4 linked regions of the Caenorhabditis elegans genome follow. The protein of the gene in region 1 interacts with the protein of each later gene in a pairwise test. Each region holds a gene or a part of one and is shown in the gene's direction. Other genes may lie near its edges. The genes, in order: ubq-2, F38B7.2, ahcy-1 and ubql-1.

Region 1 (6,253 bases):
ATTCTTAAAGGCGCACACCTTTCTGTTCAAAAAATAAATTAAATGTCGCTCTGTACGAGACCCGGAATCGTAGTTTTAGTTGAAAAATTGCAATTTCAGCTTTAAAATAAATTTAAAAATATAAAAATAGGCTACTGTAATTCTTAAAAGCGCACACCGTTTTTGTTCAAAAATATATAAATATATATCGTTCTTTGCGAGACCTGGCAAATCGTAATTTTAGTTGAAAAATTGCAATTTCAGCTTCAAAATACCTTTTAAAAATCTAAAAATCATATTTTCGAGACCTATTTTTTTTTAATTTCCAAATACTCACAGCCTCGGTAACCACTGCACCGGCAACTAATACTAGAAAAATTGTAGTAGACTTTGCCATTTTTTTTTTCGGCAGAATTTGGTAAACTACAGTTCATATGCCTCCTCTTTTATACAACAACATCCGGTGAATTGACAGTGGAACCGGATTTCCATATGGAGTATAGGCGAAAGGAAGGTACGATTTCAAGGAAAAGAGTGGAGGGGAAGTACTTGAAGCTTGCATGCCATCCAAGGACGGCATATGGCCTTCATTAATCTCGTCTCGGAAGAGAAAACTTTGAAAAAGCGAGCTGAAGCTGAATTCAGTGGGAAAATTGCTTTGAAACGTCACAAAAAGTCACAAAATTGGGTCACAATGACCGAATATCATGATTAAAAAAAAAATCAAAAAAATGTTCTAGATTTTATATGATTTTTTGAAAATTAGAAAAATCTCAGTTTTCCCCCTAATTCCTATTTGAATTTCCGCCAATTGGATTTGTTCGATGGAGCGCGCTTGCATTATTTTAGTTAATTAATTTTTATTTATTCTCGTTATTTGACTGATTTCCTTCATTATTTGTGTATTTTTATCTAAAAAAAGAGAGAAAAATGCAAATCGTTCATTAAAAAATCACTGAAAATTGGTAAAACTTGTGTGAAAAATGCTAATTTCAGACTTGTTGTCGTCGGAACTCATAATTTTATAGTTTTACGCATTTTCAGTGATGTTTTAATGAACAATTTTCATTTATCTTGCATTTTTCTCTCTTTTTCCAATAAAAATACACAAGTAATAAAGGAAATCAGTCAAATAACGAGAATAAATAAGATTAAATTTTAAAAATAATGCAAGCGCGCCCCGTCGAACAAACTTAATTGGCGGTAATTCAAATAGTGAAAACTGAGATTTTTGGTGGCCCTATAAGAGCTCTTATAAGAGTATTTTAAAGCAATTTCCCCATTGACGATACTCCATCCTTAAACAAAAAAAGAAAGTAAAAGAATAATTATTAGAGAATTTATTGAATTTTACAGAACAAATACAAGTGAAGATTATTAACAATATCGATCAGATTTCATTTTCATCCGTCTGTCCAGCAGCAGCTCGTGTGCACTTCCGTCGGCCTGCGCTTTCTTAACTCCTTTCTTGTCCTTCACGTCAATCGCAATATGTCGGTTCTTGAGATCAACCTTCGAGTGCTGATACATCTTCACGTAGGCCGTCTCACACTCCCGAGCGTTTTTGCGGTCTTCCACAGATCTCCAATCGACTGGGCCTTCTTGTATAGCGTCTGTACGGATCTGGAAATTGAATTTAATCGGATTTTATCTATTTATATCTAAATTAGCACTTACATTAACCATTTCATTCTCCGTAGCGGTTCTACTAGCCACATAAATATGCCCCTCTTTATTTGGAACTGTAGAGAGGAAAAGTGGTGAGGAGACGGCTTGGAACGCGGTTTTTCCCTCCTGGAAAACCAACACGAATTGCTCGCGGGATCCAATAGCTTCAGCCATGGCAACCAATTGATATTCGCTGTCCACTCCAACATATCTTCCGAATCCTGTCTTCAAACTGATTTTACTATCGTCTGGAGTTTTGACGAGCGCGAAAATTTCCTCAGGATTCGGGCCTTCTCCCTCCGGATGTGGAAATCCAATTGTGAATTTTCCGTTGTCCATTGCAGCGACATAAGTTCGCGTTGAGCCGGCTCCACTGGCAACTTCGATGGCGACGTTGGTTCCTCCTTTCATATCGAATTCATCGGCAATTTTGCGCCAACCACCATTTTCGACGGTGTCTGGATCGATTTTCTCCTTGTCGTCTTTGTTCTTCTTCTTTTTCTCCTTTCCCACTTTGAATCTGCAACGAGTGAATTAATGGAGGATTTTATACACTTTAAACTTGAATATGTCACTTACAAATTCTTTTTTCCGGCTTTTAATTTCAATCCACCACCTTTTACAGCACTGTAGTCAGCGCCTGGCATTTTTTGAAGTTTTCTGCAATAAAAAACAAAATTTTCATCAATAAAACTGTAAATTTCATAACAAAACTCGAAGAAATCAATAAAAAAACGTTCGAAAAACGTTTGAAACAAAAAAATAATATTCGAATTCTTCTCCCCCTTCCCGTAAATCCTGCAGCTCTCTACCGTACTTTCGCCGTCTCTCAATTTCGCGGCGAGACCCATCACCACGGCAATCCTCCATTTGTGTCGCTGGGCCTAAATTTTTTCCGTTTTTTTGCTCGATTTTCGCCGTTTCTCTGCGAAATTTTTCCAAATTTCTGTTCAATTTAATCAAAATATTGTTCTGGACGCTTGTTCAGCATAGAAAGTGGAGATTCTGTTGTATTTTAAGCTTGGAAAACGAATTTATTATGAAATTTCATTTTTTTGCTAAATAATTTCTCTATTCTTGAATTTTTACAGCTTTTTAACGCAAAATATTCTTTCCTCTTTGTTCTAAATGGGTAGTTACACACATTATGCGGTCTATAACGTCTTTTGTCACCTTTGAAACTAGTCTCTAAAGAAAAATCAATAATTTTTGCCCCTACGCTCTCCTCCAAATGTTTCGCTCTCGCCGTCATTTTCTGACAATTTTACTCGGTTTCTTTTCAAATTATATAATTTCAGTCATGCAAATCTTCGTCAAGACTCTGACGGGTAAGACTATTACCCTCGAAGTCGAGGCTTCCGATACCATTGAGAATGTCAAGGCCAAGATCCAAGACAAGGAGGGAATCCCACCAGATCAGCAAAGATTGATCTTCGCCGGTACGTTATTATTCAGACCTGATATATTCTTGAATTAATTTCCGGGCAAAACACCCAATATAATTTTCTAATTTCAGGAAAGCAACTCGAGGATGGACGTACTCTCTCCGACTACAACATCCAAAAGGAGTCTACTCTCCACTTGGTGCTCCGTCTTCGTGGAGGTTAGTTTTTTTCTAATGTTCAGGCATTGAGAAATATTTCTAAATTCAGGAATCATCGAGCCATCTCTCCGTCAGCTCGCCCAGAAGTACAACTGCGACAAGCAGATCTGCAGAAAGTGCTATGCTCGTCTCCCACCACGTGCCAGCAACTGCAGAAAGAAGAAGTGCGGACACTCCAGCGAGCTCCGCATCAAGAAGAAGCTGAAGTAATCTTCACTCGTTCCAGTCCATGTGTTGGCAAATAAATCGTTAATTTTAATTGAATGTCGCTATTTGTGCAAAACGTAAATTTCGTAAATATTGGATTTTTGGAATGAGATTTGTACATGGTAACAAAGAATCATTATAAAATACAGATGCTCAAATCAATACTTCGGGGAGCTCTAGTAGCTACAAAGCCGGGTCCAGCCAGGCGCCAGTTCTCATTCACAGCACTTCTGCGGAGCGAGACCCAGCCCAAAGAGATAATTAATCTGGAACGGGTTCAAGTTAGAAAGATGAAGAAGAGACGCCCAGTTGCTTCATCGGTTGTTCCAAAATCCCTACGAGAACCTTCAGTCGTCGCCATGGCACTTTCAGAATCACTGAACCTCAATGAGGTCATCATGGATGCACAGCTCAATGGAATGTATAATATAACTGCAATCGACGAGGACGCGGATGACAGCTTGCACTTTGTCAAAAAACTGGAATATACCATCAATCCAGGCGAACTCAGTGAAATTTTCGTGTTTCGAGATGGAGTTGTCGTTTTTTGGAACGTTGATTCTAGTCAGCGATCGCATATTCTACGGGAGCTCGAACGATACGCAGATGCTCCATATGACTCGATGATTGTGATGGATGAGCAGGATAGAATGTTCTATAAATTTTCAGAGCAGTACGTTTTCTCTTGAAATCGTCAAATTTGCAAAAAAAAAACGGCGCCGCACAGAAATAGAGGCGGGCGTAATTTCGCAACCCTGTGGCACGGTTTTTACTTCTTTTTTTTTAAATTTGAGTTTTAGCCTCACAACCTTATGATAATCAAATTGGATAACATTTCATTCAAAAAAAGAAAGTAAGTAAAAACCGTGCCGCAGGGTTGCAAAATTACGCCCCGCCTCTTTTTCTGTGCGACACTGCTTTTTTGTTGCAAAATTCACTTTTTTTGTTCAAAAAAGAAAATTTAGATAATTTTCTCCAATAGAAGCTTCAAAATTAGGAAAAACTCGACAAAAATTCAAAAATTTACAATTTTTTATTAATATAAGCGAAATTTGCAAAACAAAACGGCGCCGCACAGATATAGAGGCGGGGCGTCATTTTGCAACCCTGCGGCATGGTTTTTCCTCTTTTTTTTTTGCAAAATTTGCAATTTTTAACTCAAAAAAAAAAGAAAAATAAAATGACATTTTCCAGCAGAAACTTTAAAATTAAGAAAAACTCAAAAGTATTAAAAAAGAAAATTATTATTTCCAGGTCTACAGGATCCACCATTCGTCAAGATCGTTTCTACCTCTCGGGAAAACATTTGGACGCCTTCCACGGCTCGAACGAAGCAATTTTAGAGCGATTTGCACTCAGTCAGGGATTCGCTGCTTCCGTGAAAATCGGAGTCTGGGAAAGTCTTCTAAACAATCTTGCGGAGCCACTCTCCAACACTACAAAATCGCTAACTCTGGGAAAGATTCCGTGGAGCCGGAAGCAGGCTCTCATGAGATCCGGAGAATTCGCAGCTCTTCGACACTCGATTAATCTTGATTGTACCCTGTTGAATAAGGATTTCTATTGGGAACGACCTGAATTGGAGAAATATTATACGATGACGGGACGCCATTTCTCACTAGACAGACGGATAGGGTTAGGAATCTGAAAAAATCGCGAAAAAAATTCAAATTAAAAAGAGTGTGCGCCTTTAAAAAATTTTGTTTTTTTTTTAAAATATATTCCAAAAAAGGCGCACACTGAATTCGATAGAAGTTTTTTTGCTAAAAACATGAAAAAAAATCGAAAAATTTATGAGTTTTTCGATACATATCAGAATTTTTTGGTTTTTTTTACGTAAAAATCGAAAAATCTAGAGCCAGAACATGATTCACAGAAATTTCGGATTTTTGTAATCCGATTTTACGAAAAACTGCGATATTTAGAGAAAAAAATCGATTAATCTGAAAATTAGCTTTAAATTTTTAAATTTTCTTCATTTTTCGAAAAAAAAATGATCGAATTTTTTAAATATAGCTTCAAAAGTTTGATTTCTTTTATTTTTTAGAAAAAAAGTGATTTTTTCAGCAACTTGAACAAAATTTTATAAAAAATTGAATTTTGGGTAATTTTTCGAATTTCTCTTAAAAAATTGAAAAGTTTCGATGAAAAATTTCAAAAAAAAAGCCGAAACCGGTAAATTGTATTTTTGCGTTAAAAAATCTCAAAATTCAAATTCCTGTAATTTTTCGATTTTCCGGAAAATCGAAATTATCAAAATTAATTTTAAAAATTTTCAACAAACACTTTTTTAATTTTCAAAAAAAAAATTAGTTTTCGGGAAATAAGTTTCAATATTTTTACTTTAAAAAAATTTTTTTCTTAATTTTCCAGAAAAGTCATATTTCCTAATTTTCAAAAAAAAAAGAAAAAGATTTTTAATACAAGTTTTCGTTAAAAAATCTTTTTCCAATTTTTTTTTAAATTTTCATTAAAAATTTGTTTTCCAATTTTCAAAAAAAAAAATACAAATTTTTTGTCCCGATTTCCATTTAAAAATTTTGTTTCCAGTCTCCTCAACAAGCGGCTCGACTACTGTGAGGAGCTCGTGAAGATGGTCGACAACACGATCGCCCTTCGCCACGCATCCCATCTGGAGTGGATGATCATCGTGCTCATCGTCATCGAGGTCATCTTCGACGTCTTCCATTTTGCAGACAAAACGCCGAAAAGTGTGATGATTGTGCCGGATTCTTCGAAAGCTCAGCAGCTCAGGAATGAAGGAAACTAGCTTAATCTAGATTAATTTTAAATTCG
Region 2 (7,396 bases), on another chromosome or scaffold:
ACCGTTTCTTGTTATGTTTTCAATTTTCTATGTATAGTTTAGTGCCCCCTTCCCACTTCCCCTACTTCAAAATGTATCTATGCCGCTAGTTGACACCCCCATTTTATCAATATTTTTCAGCCCGATGTCCTTCTTTTCCCAATCAAATCTCTTCATTATTTTATTACTTCAATTTTGACGACTTCTTCATCAAAAACCGAACAATTGTACCTATGTAACTTATGCGCTTTCGAGACGTTTTGAGTGCCTTAACCCACAAAATTGTACAATAATGTTCAAATTCCGAGTAGATCTAACTTATTTGATTTGTGAAATCTGCATGCTTTCTTTCAAATTTCATGTATTTGTACATCTACCATCCCATCCCACCGCTAGCCTTTTGTGTCGTACAGTCCAACTTTTTTTTCTCTTCTCTTCTAATTTATTCATCCGTTTTCCCAACATTCTTTCTACTCAAAAAACATTTCTTTCACACATTGTCAACTAGCTGTATACATTTTGCATTATTTCTTTACAATTTTAAGTTTATATAAGTGCAACTAATATATCGTTTTTTATCGTCAAACTACCCTCTAATTCTTTTCTAATTTACTGCTTTTACACCGCGCATTTTTTTCTATATTTAAACTTTGTTCCTCGTTCGCTAGAATTTAATTTCAACTTGTACAACAAACATAGTTTCACTAATGTCGAGTAGTTTTTAATTTTCATACTTTTTCCGTGTCTCAATCATTTTTCCCCCATCTTCCTCGATTTGCGTCTTGTCCTTATCATGAGAAAATCCCGGTTTCTGCTGCCCCTTTCCCATTTTATTTTCTGAAAACTGTTTTTAAAATTATATTTCCCATGTTTTTTATTTCGATTTGTCTTTTTTTTTCTTCTCCCATATTTGCATAACTTTTATAATAAAGTTCACTTCTTTTTGAATTTAATTTGATTTATTTGAAACAGAAATTTTAAGAATAATTGAAAGCAGATATCTGGGAAAAGTTTTTTCAAACAATTTAAGCCGTTCTTAGGAAAATACATTTAAAATTGTTTTTGTTTCGCAAAAAAACTCAGTAAAAAAATAATTTTGCCCAGATAATCCGAATTTTTTGAGACAGTACGGACCAACGGCTATGGAGCCCCTATTATTAGAGGGGTTTAGAAGATGTCCATTTCATTGGGGCATTTTATTGGCGTCAGCATCTCTACCGACCAGCTGGTTTGGGCATACCCAGATGTTTTAAAATTTACAGAAAAATCGCATTTTCGACGAACATCACATTTTTCTAGAGTTTCAAAAAAGCGTCCATGCCTTGAAAAATTAGCAGGCATGTAAAAACATGAGTTTTTATTAGTAACAAAAGTGTTCCATTATTTGGTTTATTCATTGATATTTTGAACTAACTATGAATCACCTTGAACTTTGAAAATGAAATTACGAACAAAGTTTTGCGACACTTCTGGTATCAACTTTGGAATGCAGTGCGCAAAGTGTCAAGATCAAACGATTCTCAAAATGCGTATAAATGACGTCGTGTATATTTTCGATGAAATCATCATTGCCTCCTCCAAAACCCAGTGTTGATTTTTCATGTAGTGTCACTAACGAGTACAAATGGTTCAAATTACAGAATTATATTTCTACACAAGTTTTTAAAAAATTACCGCAATCGCAATAGCTAAGAAATTTGTTTATTTGCGGTTCCATTCAAAAAAATTACAATTTTACAAATTCTTCACTTTGTGTAGTTGGCAGAATTTAAAACTAAATTTAAATTACTTTAACTTTATCTTGAATGACAGATTTTTAAATTGAAATAAGTAAACTTCTACAAATTGTGATTGATCTCCAATAATTGTTTGCGACAGGTTAAAATTGTTAACTTATATTTTTCAGTGTAATTTGCACTAAAAACAATGTTTTCAGAAGTGGTCACTCGGCATTTACCTGCAGCTTCTTGCCCAACTTTAGCTCTCAGCAGCTTCTTACCCAAGTTTAGCCAACGTTTCATCCAAGTTTAGCCCAAGTCTGACCGAAGTTTAAGTTTTCTAATGCAAACTATCCCACCAAACTTTGGCCAAACTTAGGTCCAAGTTTCGCCAAAGTCTCGCCCAACTTTGAACACGCGGCGCGCCGCCGAGGGCGCCCTCGGCGGACAAAAAATAGGAATTTTGTGACTGGAACTGTTTAAATATCATTATTATTTTGCTAATTTAAAGTAAATCCGTGAAGAATGTTTTCTGTTGTGATTAAATTTGAGTTTAATTTTTTAAAATCAATTTTTGATAGCTAAAAGTTGTTATTCTCCGATCATTTAATCAAAATTTTGAACTACTCGAAAAGCTTTTCTGAAATACTGACCCCTCGAGAATTTGCTTGGCACTTGATACTTGATAGAGTGTTCAGAATGTTGGGTTCTGAAGAAAAATGGTATCAATAGAAAACTGAAATTCATTCATTATGATTTAGCATTATCGAATACAGTACTGACTGAAAATTAACCTAAACCTATGAGAATGGCTACGCGTAAGTAGAAACAACAGTTTGCAATATTAATATTGAAATTAATAAAATATTCTCGCGCGACCATCATGGCTCAACAGGTAATTATAAGAGATCAGCACAACTTGTAGAGATCAGCACAACTTATAAGAGATCAGCACAACGGGAAAAACGATCGGAGTTCAACATACAGGTGAATCTTGGGCTAAACTTGGGTTAAACTTGGGCTAAACTTGGGCAAAACTTGGGCTGAGTGAGAGTGGGCTACACAGCGGTTGACTTTTTTCCTTTTTTGACGCATCGCCCAAGTTTGACCCAAGTGTGGCCCAAGTTTGGCCAGCTTCTAATCCATGTTAATTTTTTTTGGGCGAAACTTGGATTAAAAGCTGTGAAACATGGGCAAGAATCTGGCGGCGAATGCCGAGCAGCCTGAAATTTTTTAAAAATATGTTTATCAATTATATTCCACAAATCAATAAATATGCATATTGTTTTTTATATAGCAGATTATAATTATCAATTATCTCTTTTTTGGTTCTTTGTCTGCCAAGGAACAAGTTTACTCTCTAAAAACAATGAAGACGTGATTTCTCTAAAAAAAAATCCTCGAAACAAGTTATCTTGCTGGTTGCACTGTTCATTTTTTTTTAAATTTTGACCGTACTATTTTCAAAATAACTTTTAAATGTGAAATTTAACATTCAATTCTGATTAAATTTAACCTTTTTCGAAGATGAATCTATGAACCTACTATCGAATCCTTATCAACATCGCTTGATAAAATCTTGATCAACAAACCAGTCTTTCTCCGACAAGAAAATTTTCATTAGTTTAATCTCAGTGCGTACATTTAGATACCACTATTATCTGCATTTTTCAGTAATTTTTTGGTGTCCAACCTATCATGCACCCAACCAAGAATTAAGTCTCAAGAAGGTCTTTGTTGTTTCTTATATTAGTTTTCCTGCCACTCAATTCGACCCCGAAGGCCAAAAAGTACCGGTTCTCGGTGATATTCTCGCAAGTGACATCACTGTTTTTACCCCTTCTTTTCTTTCCTCTTAACTTTAAACTTTTCATCAATTGATTTGATGAAAAACGGTGATTTCATTAAATAATCTTCTGTGAAGTTGTTTGATCTTGACGTCAATAAGGAAAAGAACGTTCTGGCTTCAGTGGGTGGAAAGTATCACTTGATATAGTCATTTGGATTATATCGTAAATCTATTTACATGCATTATACTCCCGGTTTTGTTCTATTGATGCTACCACTTGGTATTCTTGGAATTGTTAGAGAAAGACCACGAACAGTCACGTATCATGCGTAAGTTTTTTTTTCATGTTTTCAAGCTTTCAAGTTGAAAGAAAATCAACATTTTTTATTGATTGTTCAGTTAATAAATTCCCACCATATAGGCTGGTCAATTATTACTGGCAGATTCACAAGTTTATTTCTTACTTTAAATTGTCTATAATAAAGTTGTGCTTTTGGTGAATATGAAAGAGATACAACTGTTGAAAAATGAGCCCTAAAAAACTTAAAATTGAAGAAAATTCTAGTACACAAACAATTTCCTGTTAGTCCTATGCATGTTTCCAAAATTCAGAACTTTTATTCAAACCTTGTTCTTGAAATTAAAATTTTCAGAGACATCTCCACAAATTTCTACCCTCGATTTGTCAAAACCGTCTTCGCAGAGGAATCACATAACTTTGATGTGATAGAAAATAAGACTGGCAAATTTTATTTCATTCATCCCGATACGCCAATCGAATTCGAAAAATATAAATATTACTGGAATGAGTCACACGCTGATTTGAAAGGAGTGAAAAATCTTTGCGAATATCGTATAAATTGGATGATTGATTCAAAAGAAATGTATGAGGTGAGAAATTTCATTTTTGATTAAGCACTGGAATTGAAGTTTTTCAGACATTTTCCCCTGAAAATACACAAATGAAATCATTATTTTATCGTTGCCATTTTGCGCAAACGTGCATGGGATTGGAATGCAAAATTGACAGCCGACTTTTTGTACCACCAATGTAAGATTTATTTTTTGAATTTCCGGCCAATAATGAGATTTCAGATTTCTTCTAATTTTCATTTCAATCTTTTGGTGTTTCAAGAGAATGTTACGAAGAGATATGAAACGTGTTGAGCGTCAGACATCATTCCACATAATGGACCCAACAAATCCAGCACATCGATCTCCACCACCACCATACAATGCACAAAACTCTGCTATACCGCCGCCATACCATAATGCTCGACATGGAAGAGTATCTCGATCAAATTCTCATTCTCGGTCAAGATCAAATTCACGTTCTTAATCAGTGCTTCAAGTATTTACCAGTTTAAAGACGTGCTTCTGTACAACACGTGCACGAGGTCAAATACTTTCCATAGAGCATGTTTTAAACAAAATAACGTTTTTGTGCTAACGGGTTGTTTTATAATCAGGATTTGTTTAGTTTAGTTTAAAAATAAATAATTGAATTTGGAGTTCGTCAGTTTGGGAAAAATTGAATACACTCAAAATTATAATTTTTCAAAATTTCATAATAAAGCTAAATTTAAAAACTACAAAATCACTTCAATCCATTGAATAGTTAAAACGTTTTTTTTTTCAAATAATTTACGACGATGATTTACTGAAATCGTTTGACGTAATCAATGCAGTGTGAAATTCAAATAGGTAAGAGAGCAGTGGTAACTAAGGCAACACTCCTGCTTTCTTTTTGTGGGCATGCGAATGAGCTCTGTTTACTTACAAATCTGCATGTTGATTTTGATTTTGGCATTACTCATTCAAAAATATAATTTAATCAATTTAAGATATAAAAATGAAAACAACTATTACCGTTTTGTTCGTAGTGCGTACGCAACGAACATAAATCATCTGGATTTTGTTGAATACAACGGAAATGAAATTTTCATAAATCATCCAGAAAAGGCATTTTATTTTGATCAATATATGTATTATTGGGATGATAATCATGATGACTTGAAAGGTTTCGATAGTATTTGTGAATACGCACTTTTTGGTTTTCTAGATGCCCCTCAATTGTCAAAGGTTCTAGATTTCTTTCTGAAGTAATAGTTTTTAACGTTGTTTTTTTAAAGACATACTTTCCCAATATGACTCGGTCAACAAGTATTTTCTTTCATTGTTCTTCTTCTTTCACTACCTGTTCGGGATTAGAATGTGAATTGAAACAATCTTGTTGGAATATAATGTAAGTGACTTTCAACATTTTTAAGATTGAAATATATTGCAATTCTATTTTAGATTGATTTTAATAGCTGTTTTCATTCTAATTTATCCCATTAAACTTTTATGGGATTTTTTGATAAAAAGACAAAAACAAATAGCCCATCAACGAAGAATGTCATTATCCAATCACGAAACAAATAATCCCGCCGCTCCAGTGTTTGAGTGCTCTCCGCCGTCTCCTCCGCTAATGCTTCACGATGTCGATCTGCCTCCGTCCTATAATTCAGCATGCTTGAATTCACCTCCATCCTACGAGGCAGTTATTCAAGGAAAAGTATTGTTTACAGTGTCATCCTATTCCCCAGTTGTGTAACATTTAAGCAGGGCTAATGAAACTCGTTTAGTAATATTGTGAACTTTTGGTTTGTTGAATTCATATGCAATAAACACTTTTTATGAATGATTTAATTGGCAGACGCCTATAGATGTATGTATATAAATTGTTCATAAAGTAATTTCTGCTACCAATTTTCATGATCAAAATAAACAAAAAACACTTGCAATTTTGTTCAACTTCGTTGAAAAAATGAAGTTGCGACCGAAGTCCGTGATTTTGGAGCCCGAGCCAACATTTTTTCAGAATCATCTTAGTATCTTATTCAAAAGATTTTTACTAGTTGTCAACCGCTCAACTCAATGAGGGAACTATGCTATATTGATTTGTTTTCTTATTTTAATTATTAGCGGTGTGATTATTCCATGCGAAAAGATCATAAGCAAGAAAAAACCGAAGTGCAAATGTTTTTCACATTCATGTATATGCTTTCTAACATCACTTCAGCTATCTCTGACTTTCAGAAGATCTGAAATATTCGATTTACGAAAAGACAACTTGACGTAATCGCTTTCAGAAAATGCGTATGCAGTGTTGGTATCTAAGGCAACTATCGCACATCCAACTTTCTTTTTAAATCAGGTGAAATAGCGTGGCTCTTTTCATTTCCTTTTCATGATCTTTTTTCCCATGTTTAAATTATTTTTGCTTAGTTTAATACAATTATCCGAAGCAATTACAACTAAAAGAGCGTATTATGAGTAAGTAGTATTTAAAAAAAAACAATATTTTACCTAAAAGTGTGATTTCAGGCCGTATTTTCTCGAAAAATATGACTTTTTTTCATTCTGAGACTCGTTTCGGAACTCCCTATCACATAATTAATGAGAACAAAACGTTCATTTTTGACGGAACAAGATATTATTTGGATCCAAAACTCAAAGAAACATTCCAAGATATTTGTGAATACAGTATTCATCCACTCCTTGATGCCACTGAACTTCAAACGGTGACTTTGATTTTATGATATCCACTAAAATGATGGAAATTTATTTCAGACGTACCTTCCAAATATGACACATGTCGATTCTATTTATTATGAATGCTCGTGTTTTGAACTATGTTACGGGCTGAGGTGCAGAATTAACCCGTTTTATTTGATAATAGTGTGAGTTGGAAACATTATGTAGGTTATATGAAAGCACATAGGTTATATGAAAGTAAAAAAGTCCGGCGATTTTCCCCGGGAGTTGGCAAAACTGTCGATTGCATAATTGGCAAAATTAACAGTATTTTTAGGTTTCATGGTGGATCAATTTTTGTTTGTTGAAAGTAAGATCAATCTGTAAATTG
Region 3 (7,152 bases), on another chromosome or scaffold:
GGGTTGTTTTTGAATGAAGAGGATAAGATTTGAAAGAAAACTGAGAGGATCCTCTTCCCATAGAAAAAGAGAGTGAAACACATAAATACCTTTATTGTTAAAAACTACGAAAGAACCTATTTCCTGTTTTTTCTCAAATTTCTCTCGTTTTAAACCTAAATACTTTAGACAAAGAATGTATTGTTTCGGAATTATTTACCGTATTCTTTTTCTGTAAAATTTGATAAAATTGGATCTACGAAAAACAGAAAATGAGAACGAGATTATTTTATGTTTCCTCGCCTTTTATTTAGTTTCGGGACTTGCTAATTCAAAATTAGTCAGGCTTATTAGTTTCTCAGGGCCATCTCGAATCTATGATTTTCCTCAAACTCTAGAAAATTAAGACTCTGAACGACTGAAAACGAGGAGCAGACTGTCTCTGAACAAAGTATGAAAATTCTGAAGCAGAGGAGAAAAAGAAAGACGTGACACAAGTTTAATTGTTCAGAGAGAAAGAAAAGAGCACGACCGGCGAAATATTTCGGAGAGCAGAATACAACGACTAAGAAAAAATGTTGAAATTGCAGGAGAATGTTGGGCGACACGTCTTCCGGTCCATTTTTTGTGTTTTCGGTTTTCCTGTGGTCTGTCTAAATATCGCTCATTTATTTCGTTTCTGAGGATCTTTTAGGAGATCCACATGTAATTTTTTTAGAAAGATTTATGAGAGAAAACATAATTTCTTGTGAAGAGAAAACTTGATAGTTTCTAAAATGAGAACATTTCGTGTTTTGACAGGAAATAAATTCGAGAACAGAAATTTGAGACAATGCCCCTCTAGCATATAAATGTATTCTATTTATTTTGTTTACAAGATGATGATACTGGGGGCTCGAAGAATCTCCCAAGGGAAAATGAATGGAGGTAAAATGACGAGAATCGGGAACTAGTTAGTAAAATTGAATACTCAGAAAAAATGAAGGTGGCTTGAACAAAAAGAATTCGTGTGAATAATGGGTTTCTTGGATGAAAACATTGCAGGGAAAAAATAACTATTTGAAAAATTGTCCACAAAAAAAATATGGGCTCCGTACTTTAATTTACAAATTTTCAGAATTTCCCAGTTTCAATTGTCAATATTCAATCAACAGGACAACGAATCATCGTCTCGGATAGCCAAGAATCTGTTCACTTTTTAAGATATCGGAAAGGAGTAGGTTTTGAAACTCATTACATCTTAAAATGGAGTATGATGAAATTTTCTTATAGAAAAATATAGAAAATTAACCTTAATGACCGAAAAATGTTTAAAAAACTAGGATTTTCATGATTTTTTTTTCAATTTTTTTCAAACAATTTCAATTGGAAATTCTGAAAATAAATCATTTATTTATACAAATTTCAAAAAAAATTCAAAATTTTTTAAAATTACTATCAATACTGGCCATTTGCTATATTTTTTTTAAATTCAGGAGATATCCCACCTTTAATATTGAGAAAAATTCATTTTAGTGAAAAATGCCAAGAAATGGGCGGGGCCTATTTTTACTTTTTTCTTCGCGCGAATTTTCTATCTTAAAAACTCGAAAAAAGAACTTCAGAAAAGTGAAAATAAGTTTTGTCTTTTTCTGTATTTTATTCGGTTTTTCAGAAAACTATATTTTTTGTTTTAGTTTTCCAGATTGTCGGGTTGTCGAGTTTTCGGTTGTGCTAAAAAATCGACATAGCCGAAGGACAAAAAAAAACCAAAAAAAAAAATTCATATCGCAATTTTGTCATTATTCTTCCCGTTTAACCAGTTTATAATTAATTTTTGAGTTTGTGTTCTTTCCACCAAAAAATATTCCAGAAAGTGATAGGCAATTTAGAAATACATATTTACTTTTATAAATGTTATGTTGAATATATTCATGAAAATGAATTTTTGAAGGATAATCAATTGGTTGTATTCGCTGATGACACAACTCCCCGTTACGTGACATGTGTTTGTGTTCTTGATTATCATACTGTAGCTGTTGCTGATAAGTTCGGAAATTTGGCAGTTGTTCGTCTTCCGGAAAGAGTTAATGAAGATGTACAGGATGATCCAACTGTATCGAAGAGTGTTTGGGATCGTGGATGGCTTAATGGAGCTTCACAAAAGGTATTTTCAAATGGTTTATTACAATTATTTTTTGAGAAATAATTTGTTTCAGGTCGAACTTGTTTCGAATTTCTTCATCGGTGACACGATTACAAGCCTTCAGAAGACGTCATTAATGCCTGGAGCAAATGAAGCATTAGTATATACAACAATTGGTGGAGCTATTGGATGTTTGGTTTCGTTCATGTCAAAAGATGTAAGATTTTTGATGGAATTTTTTGAATATTTCATTTTATTTTCAGGAAGTCGACTTTTTCACAAATCTGGAAATGCATGTTCGCAGTGAATATCCGCCATTGTGTGGCCGTGATCATCTTGCTTATAGAAGTTACTACGCACCATGCAAGGTTGGTTTTGTCGAGTTTAACTCTCTCAATAATTTGGCCATTTTTTGTAAAGTTTTCAAACAAAACCGTCAATTTTCTTGATTTAAAAATATTTCTTAAATGAAATAAAAATTTATTTTCAGAGTGTAATCGATGGTGATATTTGCGAGCAGTTCAGCTTGATGGATACACAGAAACAGAAGGATGTTGCTGAAGAATTGGGAAAAACTGTCAGCGAGGTATGAATATTTTGTTTCAAATTGGAATCTCGGAGATTTCTAATGGATTAGATAAGAAACAAGAAATTCCTAACGAGATTATGCAATTTCAAGACAACAGAAACATGAGAAAGTGATCAGAAAATTATTAAAACTACAAAAAATTTCCATATTATAGCCTAAATTAAATTAATTTTCAGATCTCAAAGAAGTTGGAAGACATTCGCACTCGCTACGCCTTTTAACATAATTTATTTATTTTTATTTGTTGAATTTCTACATTTTTATTTCATTTTTAAATGTTTTTTCTCCTGATTCTCTCATTTGATCTTCGTTTCCTCCCGTCCCAACCTATTCCCATCCTAAAATTATAAATTGTTAAATAACTTTCTTAAAAGATTTTTTCAGGAAATCTCTCCTTTTTACCTTTCACTAATATTCTTTTACTCCTTTTTTGTTTCTCGTGCGCCGATTGTTAACAAGATCACCATGATATAATCATTGAGATAAGAGAAGAAACATAAAATATGAGACATTGTGAATGGCGTGATGTGTAGCTGATCAGCTGTCTGGAATTCCAGATGAGGTATACGGTCGAAGTGGGTCTAGAAAAATTCGCCTTGCCAAAATTTCCGATACTAAATTACAAAAATCATTTTCCGGGAAATAGATATCTCAGAGAAACTGCACCGGATTCTCAGCATTCGAGGATTTTGGAAAAACCAAAAGAAATTTTATTTGGAAAATTAAATGAAGTCTATTCTAGGAGATTAAAACATTAAAAAGTTTATAGAATTCTATTAGACATTAAAACCACCTGAACTTTGCAAAATTGATAAGCGAAACCTAATTGTCTACGAAATTGGCGGCGGAGGGCATTTCGAAAAAAGAACTACGATAAGAAGTGACCTTGGATGATAGAAAGTAAGAGATACATAGATCTCTAATAGATTCTTCTAGAATTTAACGAGATTTGCAAAGAAAATTTTAGTTTTAATTGTAATGAGCAAAATTATATTTCAGAACACAGTTATATTTCAGAACATATCACTTAGAAATTTTGAAACTGTCCCGGTCGACGTCTTGCATGAAAAATTACATTATCCAAATTGAGGCGCCACATTGTAAAAAATGTGTCAAAAATAGAAAATTAATTTTTGAATTTCCCTCGCTTTCCTCTTTCTCTGCTTTCTCTCAAGCTCTTATCATTCCTGCACATCTAACATAGAAAAGTACACAGAAGCGGAGAATGAGAGACGCAGCACATCCACGACGAAAAGTGGGCGGAGACTGATGTGGCACAGGCATTTGGGTGCTATAAAAGGCCGCCGTTGGGCCAGAAATAACGCCGTAGGAATACGGGCTAGCAAAAAAAAAAGAAAGTGATTTTTCCCTTTCAGACTGAAAAGGTACTGAATCATTCTAGAACAAGAGGAAAGTGGGGGAAATCTATCATCGACGAATCCTAAAATTTAATCTGAAACGTGATATCCTTTTCTAGGTCGTACAGAATCTTCAAAGAAATCTGCGGTGGTGTGGAATTCAGGAAGGTCACTTTACCAAAGCTATCGGCCAAAGTAATCTTACATTTTACAAGGCTATCAAGATTTTATCGCCAATTCTCCATAAATAACGCTGTCTTGACGGTTGACGAGCATCGCAGGATGCATATCTCACCTCATGTGTCAATACGTTTTTTTCTTAAATTTTCTTTAGTAATTTTCAAATAAAAATCATCGTTTCGCGGCGAGTAAGTCCAAATTTTAGGCCTTCGTGGCGGGACCCACTGAGAAAAATCACTGCGCCTTTGATCGAAACAGTAGAAATTTCGAAAAAGCTTTCTTTTTGGGAAAAGTTTTTGCAAAGTTCCTCGCTTTGTTTTATGTTTAAAAGACCGACTAGTTGTAAATTTCTTCGTCATGGTTCCAGATTTAATAGATTTTCCCACATATTAAACTCTAAAACCTAAAAAAGTTCTCGTCCACTAACTATCTTCCGTATTTTCGGGTTTACTTATTTACACATGGATTATTGTTTTTTTCCATTTAAAAATTGATGTTTTGGCAATCCACGTAAGCCAAGGTTGTTTTTGTTTATTTTCGATTCTCTGATAAACAAAAACAACTTATAAATTGGAAAATAACCTTCTCACAATCAGTTTTTTTTTCTTCACAAACTCTTGTTTTATCCTTTTCACAGCCGAACTTTCAAAAAAGTGTCTCATTTTTTTTCTTTATTTCCGTCTTATGGACTTCTTCGCTTCTCTTCCCTATCCGTCCTGCAGATTAAAATAAATTTCTAATTATTTCAGGTAAAACACATTCGCAATGGCCCAGTCTAAGCCAGCTTACAAGGTCGCTGATATCAAGCTCGCCGATTTCGGACGCAAGGAGATCATCCTTGCTGAGAATGAGATGCCAGGACTTATGGCTATGCGCTCCAAGTACGGACCATCCCAGCCATTGAAGGGAGCTAGAATCGCCGGATGTCTCCACATGACCATCCAAACCGCTGTTCTCATTGAGACTCTTACTGCTCTCGGAGCTGAGGTAAATCTTGTTTTTTGAAAGAATTAGTATTAAAATAAGTTGGTTTGAAAAATCGAAACTTTTTCCAGGTCCAATGGTCTTCCTGCAACATCTTCTCCACCCAAGATCACGCTGCTGCCGCCATTGCCCAGACCGGAGTCCCAGTCTACGCCTGGAAGGGAGAGACCGACGAGGAATACGAATGGTGCATTGAGCAAACTATCGTCTTCAAGGATGGACAACCACTCAACATGATCCTTGATGATGGAGGTGATCTTACCAACTTGGTTCACGCCAAGTACCCACAATACCTCGCTGGAATCCGCGGACTTTCCGAGGAGACCACCACTGGAGTCCACAACTTGGCTAAGATGCTCGCCAAGGGAGACCTTAAGGTTCCAGCTATCAACGTCAACGACTCTGTCACCAAGTCCAAGTTCGACAACTTGTACGGAATCCGCGAGTCTCTCCCAGACGGAATCAAGCGCGCCACTGATGTTATGCTCGCCGGAAAGGTAGCCGTTGTCGCTGGATACGGAGATGTCGGAAAGGGATCTGCTGCTTCCCTCAAGGCTTTCGGTTCCCGTGTCATTGTCACCGAGATCGATCCAATCAATGCTCTTCAAGCCGCTATGGAAGGATACGAAGTGACCACCCTCGAGGAGGCTGCACCAAAGGCTAACATCATTGTCACCACCACTGGATGCAAGGACATCGTTACCGGAAAGCACTTCGAGCTTCTTCCAAATGACGCTATCGTCTGCAACGTTGGTCACTTCGATTGCGAGATTGACGTCAAATGGCTCAACACCAATGCCACCAAGAAGGACACCATCAAGCCACAGGTAAGAAAATGTTCAGAATTAGGATGAATTCACAATCATCGATAGAAGTTTGAACCAACTTTTTTCAGGTTGACCGTTACACCCTCAAGAACGGACGTCACGTCATCCTCCTTGCCGAAGGACGTCTTGTCAACCTTGGATGTGCCACCGGACATCCATCTTTCGTCATGTCCAACTCCTTCACCAACCAAGTTCTCGCTCAAGTTGAGCTCTGGACCAAGTTCGGAACTCCACAAGAATACAAGCTCGGACTCTACGTTCTTCCAAAAACCCTTGACGAGGAGGTCGCTTATCTTCACTTGGCTCAATTGGGAGTTAAGCTTACTAAGCTTTCCGACGAGCAAGCTTCATACCTTGGAGTTCCAGTTGCCGGACCATACAAGCCAGACCACTACAGATATTAATTTTGTTGGTTCTACCCCATACGGATATTTTTTTAACTGTTTTAAATTGTATTGCCCTCAAACTTCATATGATCTTGAACTGGTTGTATTGTTCCCCATCTACCCGCTTTTCCCCCAAATACATAATCGCCTGATTTAGTCGTTTTTCTTCAACTCGTTGATTTGGTTCTGTTGTTTGTCTTTTGGACATAAATGTTTTATGGAGTAACTTTGACGATTGTTTGAGAAATTATTCTGAAAACGTTTGATTAGGCGTGAGTTTATCGAATTTTCAGATCTACGCCCGGGAAATTTCAAGCAGGGAAAAACAAATTTTAAATTTGTCGGGGTGAAGGGCGCTCTATTGATAAATAAGTTCTTTATTTCTCTCAACGCTTCACTCATTTCGTGTTTCACTTTTTATATTTACAGAAATTCCCATGATGTTCAATTTTTATCAGTTTCTCTATAACCTGCAAAATGTTTCCCCATTTATTGATTTTTCAGTACTAAAACAACTTACCCACACGAAAATGAGGGAAAATGAGCCGGCAAGATTTGAGACTCGTTCATTCAGTCAATTAATAGATCATGCAAGAAGTTGGAAGACGGAGGTTCGAAAAATGATTTAAAAAATATTATTTCGATAAACTGATTCAGGTGCGCGGCATGACAACACAAGGATTCACAAAAATTAGCCTCATGCGTGCAGAAAAAGATCGTCTCA
Region 4 (11,116 bases), on another chromosome or scaffold:
ATCGACCTGAAAAAAAAACAATGAGAGAAATACATATGCGTATTTAATAATGAGTTCATTCACCTATGTGAAATGCAATAAATATTGTAAAGTCACAAAACGTATTGAAATATAAGTTACGACACCATGAAATGTTTTTCAAACTTTGGATATACTTTGCGAGACCATGATTCAGAACAGGGGTGTGCGGCAAATGGAAAAAATTGCCGAGCTCGGCAAATCGGCAATTGCTGGTTTTTCAAAATTTGCCGTGCTTAACAAACTCGGAAAATTTTGATAATTTTTGATGTTTTTTGGAACACCAAAACTACCGAATTCTTAACACACATCTGGTTTCTGAATTAGTTCCGTGTAGTATGTCTGCTTAAGCATAAAACTAACTCAATTTTGTGTCATTTTACTAAATTTTTGGCGAAAAAATCAATAATTTTACTCAAAATTGTACTGTAAAATTTTTGACGTGTGCGGCAAATTTCGAAATTTGCCGAGCTCGGCAAATTCGGCAAATCTACCTTTTTGAAATTTGCCGTGCTCGGCAAATCGGCAATTGCTGGTTTTTTCAAATTTGCCGAATTCGGCAAATCGGCAAATTTGCCGAGCTCGGCAAGTCGGCAATTTTCGGCAAATTTGCCGCACACCCCTGATTCAGAAATCCATTGATTATGTATTGGAACATGGCCACAACGCTGCACTTTTCGTCATATTGCAGAAGTGAATAAACAAGATGTGTCAACCAAAATGATTTGAACAGGCTCTTTCAACATTATTATAATACACCCACGTTATTACTATGTGATCGTCACTATCGTCGTCCAATAAATAAAACTAATCGATGAAATCTTTCCAATACCTTGAAACGATCGAATTAATCAAAAAGTATTCGGTCATGTTTTTGATTCTTACTATTAGGATACTGAAATTACCTCTATTAGTGTCACATGCCAGACTAAGCTACGAATGACCCTTAGCTTTGGAAACTATATGACGCAGTTGAAAAAATACATATAAAGAATATATTTGAAAATTTTGAAACTATTCAGGCAAGTCTATTAGAGGCTGCATCACTAATTTTTGATCGACTCTCTTGGATGCGATATTGGCAGAGAAATCAGTATTTCATTCACATGCATCATCCTATTCCTTTTCAGAGATATTAAAACTTAAATTATTGAAATTCAACTTTTAAAAAAATGCAAGCTAATTCAAGCATTTTAAAATTAGCTTTAAATATCATATTTTCAATTCGAATTAAAACATGATCGACTGATTGAAATTGGAGAACATTTTCATTTTCACGACAACAGGGCCGGCTCCCGCAATCTAGGGTGCTGTGTAGCACATGATTTGGTGACCATCAAGGGTGTCAAGTCCCGTGTCCCGTTGTCCCGTTTTTTGGGTGTTTTCACGGGAACGGGACGTCCCGTTGTCCCGTTTTTAAAATTATCACGGGAACGGGACGTCCCGCTGTCCCGTTTTTGAGCGTTTTCACGGGAACGGGATGTCCCGTTGTCCCGTTTTTTGGGTGTTTTCGCGGGAACGGGACATCCCACTGTCCCGTTTTTGTAATTTTTACGGGACACTGACACCCTTGGTGACCATCCCTAACTACTTGTTTTCTAACGATAACATGCGTTGCTAATTTTAGAATCACGAAATTACAACGAAGTCGGTCAAATGAAGTTTTATGGCCTCTTTTCATTGAAAAAACTCCGGAAAATGTGTCAGAGCCGTACAACGCAAGGAGGTGGATCTTATATTTTCTCGAAAACTTGAGCGTGACGCCCATTTTTCTGGGTCTTTGCGGCAAGCTCCGCCTTTTTTCGGATAACACTGGGAAAGAGATTTCGAGAATTTTACAAAGATACACGTGAAAAGAAGAGGAATTGTTTGCCAAAAGGAACACCGTAAAATGTTTAATTGAAAAAGTCTGTCAATTACTGCTTCAAAAATTTCAAACATATACTATTCTCTATGGCAATGCACATGTGATAGATCGTTTTCGAGATAATATTGAATTTACTGTTTCAAAACTGAGAATTCTTAAAGGGGGGCTGGATTCCTATTACTAAACCGTGGTTCAAATCTTTGTTTCTTTTTTTTTACAATCTTCAACTTCAAAAACATAATCTTTTGTTTCATTTACTACCATATCGCACTCGTTTGTGGTATAGATAAAACTGTTTGCTACGCGACTGGTGTTTTTGCTCTTATCGTTAATTGATGTCCGTATTCTGTAGAGTAAAGACCTGACAACAAACAGTGATTTGATGCGTGGGAAAATGTAAATGTCGAGCCGATCTCATTGTCAATGGCCTTTTGAATACACAATAACCATTTTGGACCAGCATACATAATATATATGACGGACAAATGTTTCTATATGCATAAGGACTAGAACAATAAATTCAAAGAATCCTTTGTATGCATTTCATATATTTCTATTCAATGTGGCTTTCGTTGCTGTTTTATCAGCTTTCGCGTATTTGTCAGTGTCACTGCGATCGATATATGAGCGATGGCTGTGTAAATAAGTATGGTTATCTTACCTTGACGAGAGCGACTGGTGGATCGTTAGATGCGAGTTTTGGGGCAGCTCTCTCATACTCTGGGGCAATTTTCTTGCAGTGTCCGCACCAGGGAGCGTAGAACTTGACAAGAGCAATGTCGTGGGTTTGGATGAGATCATCGAAGTTTCCGTCGGTATACTCGAGAACGGCTCCTCCAGCACTGGCGAACGCCAGGAAGGAGGCGACCAAAGCTGCCTGGACCCAAATCATTACCTAAAAACTTTACCTATAAACGACAATCGATCGAGTGAGTTTAGAGGGCGAGAGATTATCGGGAACACCGACAAAAAGTTAAAAACTAAGAAACAAGATTAGAGGTTTTCAGATTATTCAGAAATATTTTCTAGAAATTGAGCGAACGATTGAAGAGAAGGGAAGGTGTTTTCGCAATTAACAAACCGCGATCGCATCGAAAACGTGAGCCGCTTGACGCGAAACGTGTTTTCGTGGCGAGATACCGCGAGCGGTAAAATCAATGCGCCTTTACTTTATTTATTTTTTTTTCGCATTTATTTTCATTCTTTTCTGTGAATCACATGTGAATGGACAAATACAGATTGTTTCGGGTTCAATTTTAAGTATTTACAAACACTTTTCAAAAATTATCTTTAATAAGTGGAAAATACAGTTAGTAAATAACTATAAATTTTAAGCTTAGAAGAAGAAAGCCAAAAAACATGTGTTGTATGGAGGAGAAATTTTATATAGACTCGGGGAGCGTTATATCACTTTTAATGATATTATTACTAATAATCCAGAAAATGCAGAGCAGAAGCATAAAAATAGACCCGAATTGTTAAGGTCCACGTGGCGCTCGTGTGTACACCAGGGATTGGTAGGAACTGAGCCAAAAACACGTCGTTCACTGCCTGTCGCACGCGTGTTGTGTGCCGATTGGCCTCATTCTTGTGAGAACTCCGCCCAATGGGTCTCGCACGGAAGAGGCGACCATCATGTGTCGATTTACGCAACTACCGCATCATTTTATTGATCATTGTTTTTTATTCATTTTATGACCTGATATAGAAGGAATCGACGTTAAATTGGAAGGCAAATTGATTGGAGCGCCATTTAGAACTTTAATTTCTTATTTTTATTGTAAATTTGAATCGATAAAAGGAACAAAAAGATCACCATGGAAACCAAATTAGTCATCACGTGCATATTGAAGCTCGCGCGTCAGGAAGAATTGTGTCTTCGTTTATCTTCGTTTATTTTCTATCGAAGAGACCCATTACATTATTACATTATTCGGTCTGAAATAGTTGCGAAATTTCTTTTTGCGCTTCGAGAATATTCTCGATTTATCGATGCAACGTGTTCTTTTCCGTCTCCGCCTCTCATTCTCTCAATCCTTTTTCTTTATTTAATTTTGTCGGTTTTTTAATATTTCTCAAATTTAAGATGGCTACAGAGAGTGCACTCATCAAAGTTCACGTGAAATCACCGTCGAACAAGTATGACGTTGAGATTGCTGCGGATGCATCAGTTTCAGAAGTATGTTATATTTTATTTAAAAAATAAAATTTTGCTCTTGAGAATTAGATAAAAATTCAAGTGATTATTCCATTTTGATAAATTAAATGTGTAAATCACAGTGTTTAATTAATATTTTACAGCTAAAAGACAAGGTTCTTGTGTTCGTTCCAACTGCGAACAAAGAACAAGTTTGTATAATTTACACCGGAAAAATTCTGAAGGATGAAGAAACTCTCACACAGCACAGTAAGTTGAAAAATGTGTTCCAAAAAATAATAAACAAAAATTTAGAAATCGCTGATGGTCACACCGTCCACTTGGTTATTAGAAATCAAGCCCGTCCAACACCAGCGCCGGCTGCTGCAACACCAACAGCTTCATCTGCACCAAGTTCCAATCCAACACCTTCTTCACAACCGAATCCTACCAATAATCCATTTGCAGCAATGGGAGGAATGGGATCACCTGCTGATATTTTAAACAATCCAGATGCTATGCGTTCAGTTATGGATAATCCAATTACACAACAACTTCTAGGAAATCCAGAGTTTATGAGAACAATTATTCAATCCAACCCACAATTCCAAGCATTGATTGAGGTTCGAGTTTTTCCTGGATATTTGTTTTGTAAATTTTCGGATTCGAAAAATTATTTAATTTTTTAATCTTCCACATTTCTCTCGTATATCGACAATAAATATTTTCAGAGAAATCCAGAAGTTGGACACATTCTCAACGATCCGAATGTAATGCGTCAAACTATGGAGATGATTCGTAATCCAAATATGTTCCAAGAAATGATGCGGAATCATGATCAAGCTATTAGGAATCTTCAGGTACATTATATATAGCTATGCTGATCAAGGGATGCCATTTTTCAATTTTTCAATGTTTTCAGCGAAAATCGAAACATCGAAGAAAAAAAGTCCAGAAAATTATCAATAAAATTTGATTTTTATCAAGTTGTGTGACACACAACTTGTGTCATATATGTTGGTGACAAAAAACATACGAAGACATTTTAATGTTATCTAACAATTGTCTAAAAAAAAGAAAAATTACCAAAATTTAATACCATTTTTTAAAAATTGAAAAAGTCGGTTTTTTCTCTCTAAAATCGAAAAACGAAAAATTCTGATTTTTCAGTTTTAGTTTTAAAAAATCGATCAAGGATGCCGATCTAAATGTCTAAATATGACTATTAAAAGTAATTAATTGTTATTTTAATTGATATGGCAAAAAATTGCTAATTTTTTTTTAATATCAGGGGTACATTTCTGGAAACTATATATTCCATCCCAGCCGCGCTACAGGGGTTTTTGTCTTGAATTCCAATTTCAACAGATTTTCCTTTTTTTCGGTTGGATTTGTTATTTTATGTTGAAACATTCAATTTTCAGGGAATTCCCGGAGGAGAAGCTGCTCTTGAACGGTTGTACAATGATGTACAGGAGCCCTTGCTCAATAGTGCAACAAATTCGCTCAGTGGAAATCCATTTGCTTCTCTAAGAGGTGATCAGAGCAGTGAGCCACGTGTCGATCGTGCTGGACAAGAAAATAATGAAGCTCTGCCAAATCCATGGGCTTCAAACGCCAATCAAGCTACCAATAATCAATCGAATAATCGTTCTGCTGACTTTAATTGTAAGTTTTTCTGAGTCAAATTTCTCTAAGTAAAAAAAAATCTTACATTAAAATCATATAATAATCAATGACGAGTGGCAAATGCCAAATATCAATTTGCCGAAAAAATTAAAAAATTGTAAATGTGAAAAAAGATTTTCAGCAATGTATTTTTGAACATTTTCCTTAAAAAATTTCCAACAAAAATTTCAAAACGACAAATTTCCAATTCGCCCAATTTTACGTCTGCCGCCCACCATTTATTATAATTTTAAACAAAATATTTAAACGTCACGAATATCCTCATAGTTTAGTGATCCGTTAATAATGTTTTAATTCATATTCAGCATTGCTTGATTCACCTGGCATCAGCTCCCTAATGGAGCAGATGATGTCCAATCCAAGTATGCAGGCCAGTATGTTCAGCCCAGAAGTCATCAATTCAATTCGTCAAAATATGTCAAACAATCCTGGACTCATTGATTCCGTTAGTTTCATTTTTAAAAAATTTAAAATAATTATGTAAGTTCAGATTGTTGGACAAATTCCATCGGCTCGTGATAACCCACAGATTTCCGAAGGAATTCGTAGAAGTTTTCCACAAATGCTCAACATGGTTTATTTTCTAAATTTTTACAAAAATTTATATTTCAAAATTTCAGATGTCTGATCCATCTGTGATGGAGGCAATGAGAAACCCACGGGTCAGTGAAGCATTCCGTCAAATTCAAGAGGGATTTTCAACTCTTCGCAGAGAAGCACCTCAACTTTTGAAGTATTTGAAAATACCATTTAGTCAAAAACTATTTAAAATTATTTTAGCCTTTTCCAAGCTGGAGCAATGGGAGGTGGAGCATTCGGTTCTGATGCCAATGCATCTTCTGCTGGGTTCGTTGATAGTTTTTATAGCTGATAGTTTTTTCTCATTTCAGAGCAAACTCTGCAAACGGACTTGCCGATTTATTCAATTCAATGAATATGGGAGGAGGAAGAGTGAGTATATTGAATATTTGATTTCTTATGTCACTTCTTATGGGAGCAGAGGTGATTATTTTCAAGTTCGGCCTTCTCGAATTGTCTAGAAAAAAAAATATTCAGAGTGAAATAACGAGATAATAAGATTTTATGAACTGAAAAAGAGAAAATTTCTATTTAAAAAGCTAAAAAAAAAGCATTACTACTGTAGAAATCAGTTTTTCTTATTTTTTATTCATTGCAAAATTTGAAAACTCGACAATAGCCTATTTTTGGATTGTGAATTTATCGAAGTGGTAAAATTTTTTTAATCGGCAATTGCCAAAACTTTCTATTGTCTGTATGATAGTTATTGAAACATCATGGGTTCAAAGAACTTTTTCAGCTAATTGAACTATTTTAAGCTTTCCTTTCTAATTCAATCGACAGATCGATTTAGAATAATATCACCGAATCCAATAATTTCCCATAGTATAGTTTTTTTTATACTTCCCTCTCGATTCCGTGGTCTTTTGAATTTTCCAAATTGAAATGAAAATTTGGATGATTAGTTGAAGCCTCACATCAAATGAAGTTCCCCCTTCATTTCATATATCAAAGTTTTTGCTCAAATTTAGAAGCTGATGAGTTGCGCCGAGTCGCCGTTTGCTCTGTGACAGCGACGGAAGTGCGCGAGCAAGAAAGAAGAAGTCATCGTGTGTCTGTTCTGAATAATGTAACAAGACGATGCTCCGTCTTCTGCTTCTTCTGTGCCGTCGTCGCTGAGCAGAAGCAAAAGTCGGCTCGTTTGACATGCTATGGATAAATGTTAGATAATGAGTATAAAGTGACGAAGACGATGGCAAACTGATGACAGCGTGCACGATCGAAAATCTTTTCCTGTTTGCTCAGAAAATGCAATTATCATATCGAATTTCATTTAGACCCCGGTGGCGTATCTAAAATTGTTTCGAAATTCTGATGTCTCGGCCCTTTCTACAGACAGAATATACTCTTAGAAAAGAGAAGTGTGGGAGATTTATCATGAGTTCCCCCAGTGAAAGAGGAAGGCCCCTCATTTCCTTGTCTTTTAATTTTTGATGATTGTTAGACGAAACAATTTGAATTGGAAACAAAAGCAATAATTTCTGCATTTTTCGTTTTCATCACTTGACATAGGAAGTGTGAAAGGCGGGCATCTTATCCATACGAATAGATCAGATTTTTTAATTTTCGTCGACGTTGCACTACTGGACCGAATGCTCTCGCATCACACAACACATTGTTGGCACATACATGTTATATGTCATTTTACATTTTCGATTAATTTTGTTCAATACCAAAACGTGGATGAGTGTGTGTATGTATGTGCATTGCCCACATAAAATGATATTAGTAGGCGCACATAAAAACGTTGATCGACAAAGGCTCGTCTCTTCACATAAATATTACACATTTCACAGCAAAAAAAACTATGTTCAATAATCAGATCTTTTTTGGGATGAGAGGGCAACACAAAAGCTGAAAGGAAACTTTCTTATCACAGAACCTTCAATTTTAGTAGATGTGATCTTCACTACATTAGGGGTTATTTGTACGCACAATGCCAAATTTTCGGAAAGTTGAGCTTTTTGTAAAGTTTAGAGCATTATTCCATGTTCGACACCCTAAAATGTTTTAATACAAAAAATTAAATTATAATACTTGAATAATTGCCTATTTTCGGTCGAATTCCAAAATTAAAATAGGTGGTATCTAGGTAGTTGCCAATTTCGACTGCAAATTAGGAAACTTGATTTTTCGAGAAGTTTTACTACGATATCTGATCTATATTTCTTTTTTCTTCGGCCCCTTTAATAAGCAAATCAGTGTTGCTCTTTTTGCTTCCCGCAATTGTTAGGAGCACATGTTTTGTGGCATATTTAGGATGCGCGACGACGTATTTGCACACACACACACACACACATTCCACGGATCGGATGTCACTATAATCTCATCTTGTAAGCGGTTACGCTGCTATCAAATTTATCCCGTATGTTTCAAGCAATTGGCCACAACATTTGTTCTCCCCCTTTTTGTTATAACTGCTGCTGCAGCTTTTGTCTCATTAGATGATTGTTTTGACGACATTTGCATAGATCATAGTAAACGATGTGTCTCCAGGAATATTGTGTAATGGAATAGTGCGCGAGGTTGGTGCGCATGATGAGAGCAGATAGGAAAAAGGACGGCGACGTTCCCCTTTTATTCATTCAACAATTGTCTAATCGGCGATTGTGTGGAACACGCGCCGTGCCATACACGTATTTCATTTCATAAAGAGGCAGCTGGCGAACATCTTCCGGTCTTCTCGTTTCCCGCCTTTTTTGTTAAGATGAGCCGATGCAAATGATATTCGAAGTGATTAGTAGTGGAGTCTATTAGGAGCCGACGTCCGAAACGATGGGATGATCTGTTCAGTGGCAAAACACTTAGTGTCTTTTGAATAGGCATTCGATTGGTTTTCTTGTTCTTACAATAGACAGATGGCTGGTTGCATGGGAAACAGTTCTTTCGAACACCTGTATCAAACCTGTGATATAGTTATTTTATAGTAGAACATCGCTTCTCTTGCTCAGATCATATTGAAACCTTGATTTTTGCATTAAGGATAAACAATAAATTCAAATATCTAAAATTGTTTCTCCTTTAAAGTAGTTCCCTTAAAATTACGATAGCTAAATCCGAAACATAGTCCAATCATTTCTTCTCATTAATTAGTATGTTGATGGAATTGTAGGGACATGTGTAGAGAGTGGAGGACACGTTGTATCACTTAATGCATGTTGTCGAACTCGTCAAAGTATGGTGTAATGCATAAATCGAATGAACGGAAAGATGCGGTAGTGCTGGTCACAATAGGAAGAAGAACAAGAGGGGTCCCATGCAAAAACACATATGACGCGTCGATTCGTCCAACTGCTCCTCTTCCTGTCTCTGTTATTATTGAGAACAACACACTCATAGATATAAATGCACAGATACTCGTTGTTCGCGCACTCATTTGTTTCGAAACATGACAAGCAAAATGCGTTTTTAGAAGATAAACATCGTAGCACTGACTCGTAATATGTAATGAACAATTAAGAAGCAGCTCTACGCATGCTATGTGCATTTCCCTCATGTTTTCAAAATTGCCTATTCTCAGAGGAAATGTTAATTTGTGTCTGTGTGGGTATGTATGTGCATCATTTCAATCAAGTGCTCCGCTCTCCTATAGACCATATTTTTTGTTTCTTGGGAATAGATTTTGGAATGATTGCCTTCCAAATACAAAGATGGATGGATTTGGAATTGAGCCTCTAGCACAACAATAATTGAGTTTTCAAAGTTTTCATGTGACCACTAAAGTTTTAAAAACGAAACCCAATACTTTTTTAGGAGATTCCCCAGAAGCTATAAATTAAAAGAAGTCTAAAATAATCTAAAATTCATATAATCAATTTTGACATTTTCTCAATTACTGTAAGACTCCTAAGTTCATATGATCCCTTGTGGAGGCAATGTCAAAACCGATATATGTGCGTGTCAAATCTTCAATATTGAGACAGCCGCATCGCTCTGAGTGATTAGTGCTAGTAACCGAAATATGAAGAAGCGGTGTGATGTCTCTTTATCTCCTGCTCTCCCTCAGGTGTTGAGATGATGGTGGTAGTGGTAGCCAACTGTTGCTCTTCGCAAAGCGCTGAGCTCTTTTGTTGTGAATACACGTCGCAATCATCAAATGACACATTAATCATATCTTGGAGAATGAGTCGGTCGATAAAAGAGAGAAATGTACCTTCGATCAAATCGCAACTCTTTTAGTTCCTCCCAGCTCCCAGACCGCTGATCGGCGACTATGATTGATTGATTAACCCACAAATGACACTAACGTGAGAAATTTTCAGCCCTCATCGACTGCTGCACCAGTGAATCCGGAGCAAACCTATGCATCACAACTCGAACAACTTCAATCGATGGGCTTCTCGGATCGTGCCAGAAATGTGGCAGGTATGTTGATAATATTTGATTTGTGTATAAGTAAAGTATGATTTACAGCGCTGACCGCAACGTTCGGAGATCTCAACGCGGCTGTCGAACGTCTTCTCAACTCTCCATAGATCCCCAATTGCCACACATACCTATTTCCCACACACACAACCCTCCGCCGATTCCTTCCACTATCATTTTTTTCTGTAAACTTAACTTGGTCTGTGATCTTGCTTCTCGCCTATCCAAAGGTTATCCTTTTAAATCTTTATTCTAAAATGTGAACAACTAGTATATTCGTTCTTCTAGTATCACCCTTCCACCAGTTTAAAATTATTCTTTTGTATTCCGTACCAGTTCAAGTATAAGTTATTTTCTTTTGGTATTGCGTATTCATTCATAAATTCGAGCTTCGTTGGAGCTTCCTGGCAATCCTCTTATTGACAGATGTCTTAGAAAAGCAAGAACAGTTCAATTGGGTG

The links.
Region 2: the proteins of ubq-2 (region 1) and F38B7.2 interact in a two-hybrid assay, tested with the Caenorhabditis elegans proteins (one large-scale study listed by BioGRID).
Region 3: the proteins of ubq-2 (region 1) and ahcy-1 interact in a two-hybrid assay, tested with the Caenorhabditis elegans proteins (one large-scale study listed by BioGRID).
Region 4: the proteins of ubq-2 (region 1) and ubql-1 interact in a two-hybrid assay, tested with the Caenorhabditis elegans proteins (one large-scale study listed by BioGRID).

Annotation. Positions count from the first base shown.
Region 1 is NC_003281.10:12,975,216-12,981,468, reverse strand, and holds ubq-2 (Ubiquitin), read left to right. Parts: upstream 1-2,945; 5' UTR 2,946-2,947; coding exon 2,948-3,086; intron 3,087-3,163; coding exon 3,164-3,250; intron 3,251-3,299; coding exon 3,300-3,460; 3' UTR 3,461-3,506; downstream 3,507-6,253. Other genes in the region: dbd-14 (DB domain-containing protein), read right to left, coding at 317-376; frg-1 (Protein FRG1 homolog), read right to left, coding at 1,357-1,602, 1,657-2,167, 2,227-2,294; ZK1010.2 (DUF155 domain-containing protein), read left to right, coding at 3,607-4,130, 4,712-5,092, 6,008-6,227.
Region 2 is NC_003283.11:11,540,295-11,547,690, forward strand, and holds F38B7.2 (CX domain-containing protein), read left to right. Parts: upstream 1-3,308; 5' UTR 3,309-3,723; coding exon 3,724-3,815; intron 3,816-4,077; coding exon of another isoform or gene 4,078-4,139; coding exon 4,140-4,377; intron 4,378-4,424; coding exon 4,425-4,537; intron 4,538-4,581; coding exon 4,582-4,825; 3' UTR 4,826-4,996; downstream 4,997-7,396. Other genes in the region: F38B7.10 (CX domain-containing protein), read left to right, coding at 5,242-5,568, 5,619-5,731, 5,785-6,082; F38B7.11 (CX domain-containing protein), read left to right, coding at 6,801-6,804, 6,856-7,052, 7,102-7,211.
Region 3 is NC_003279.8:6,831,489-6,838,640, forward strand, and holds ahcy-1 (Adenosylhomocysteinase), read left to right. Parts: upstream 1-4,980; 5' UTR 4,981-4,996; coding exon 4,997-5,218; intron 5,219-5,286; coding exon 5,287-6,042; intron 6,043-6,110; coding exon 6,111-6,446; 3' UTR 6,447-6,652; downstream 6,653-7,152. Other genes in the region: teg-4 (Splicing factor 3B subunit 3), read left to right, coding at 1,097-1,195, 1,913-2,125, 2,178-2,321, 2,368-2,472, 2,595-2,690, 2,870-2,914; dpf-3 (Dipeptidyl Peptidase Four (IV) family), read left to right, coding at 6,866-7,039, 7,086-7,152. UniProt on the Caenorhabditis elegans protein: Adenosylhomocysteine is a competitive inhibitor of S-adenosyl-L-methionine-dependent methyl transferase reactions; therefore adenosylhomocysteinase may play a key role in the control of methylations via regulation of the intracellular concentration of adenosylhomocysteine.
Region 4 is NC_003279.8:7,018,011-7,029,126, forward strand, and holds ubql-1 (Ubiquilin), read left to right. Parts: upstream 1-3,971; coding exon 3,972-4,064; intron 4,065-4,186; coding exon 4,187-4,292; intron 4,293-4,337; coding exon 4,338-4,645; intron 4,646-4,753; coding exon 4,754-4,882; intron 4,883-5,446; coding exon 5,447-5,690; intron 5,691-6,016; coding exon 6,017-6,156; intron 6,157-6,201; coding exon 6,202-6,285; intron 6,286-6,331; coding exon 6,332-6,444; intron 6,445-6,491; coding exon 6,492-6,557; intron 6,558-6,601; coding exon 6,602-6,662; coding exon of another isoform or gene 6,663-6,683; exon of another isoform or gene 6,684-6,713; intron 6,714-10,552; coding exon 10,553-10,655; intron 10,656-10,703; coding exon 10,704-10,765; 3' UTR 10,766-11,064; downstream 11,065-11,116. Other genes in the region: pdi-3 (Protein disulfide-isomerase), read right to left, coding at 1-6, 2,547-2,777. UniProt on the Caenorhabditis elegans protein: May play a role in the ER-associated protein degradation pathway (ERAD) possibly via its interaction with ER-localized proteins ubxn-4 and cdc-48.1 and/or cdc48.2, providing a link between the polyubiquitinated ERAD substrates and the proteasome.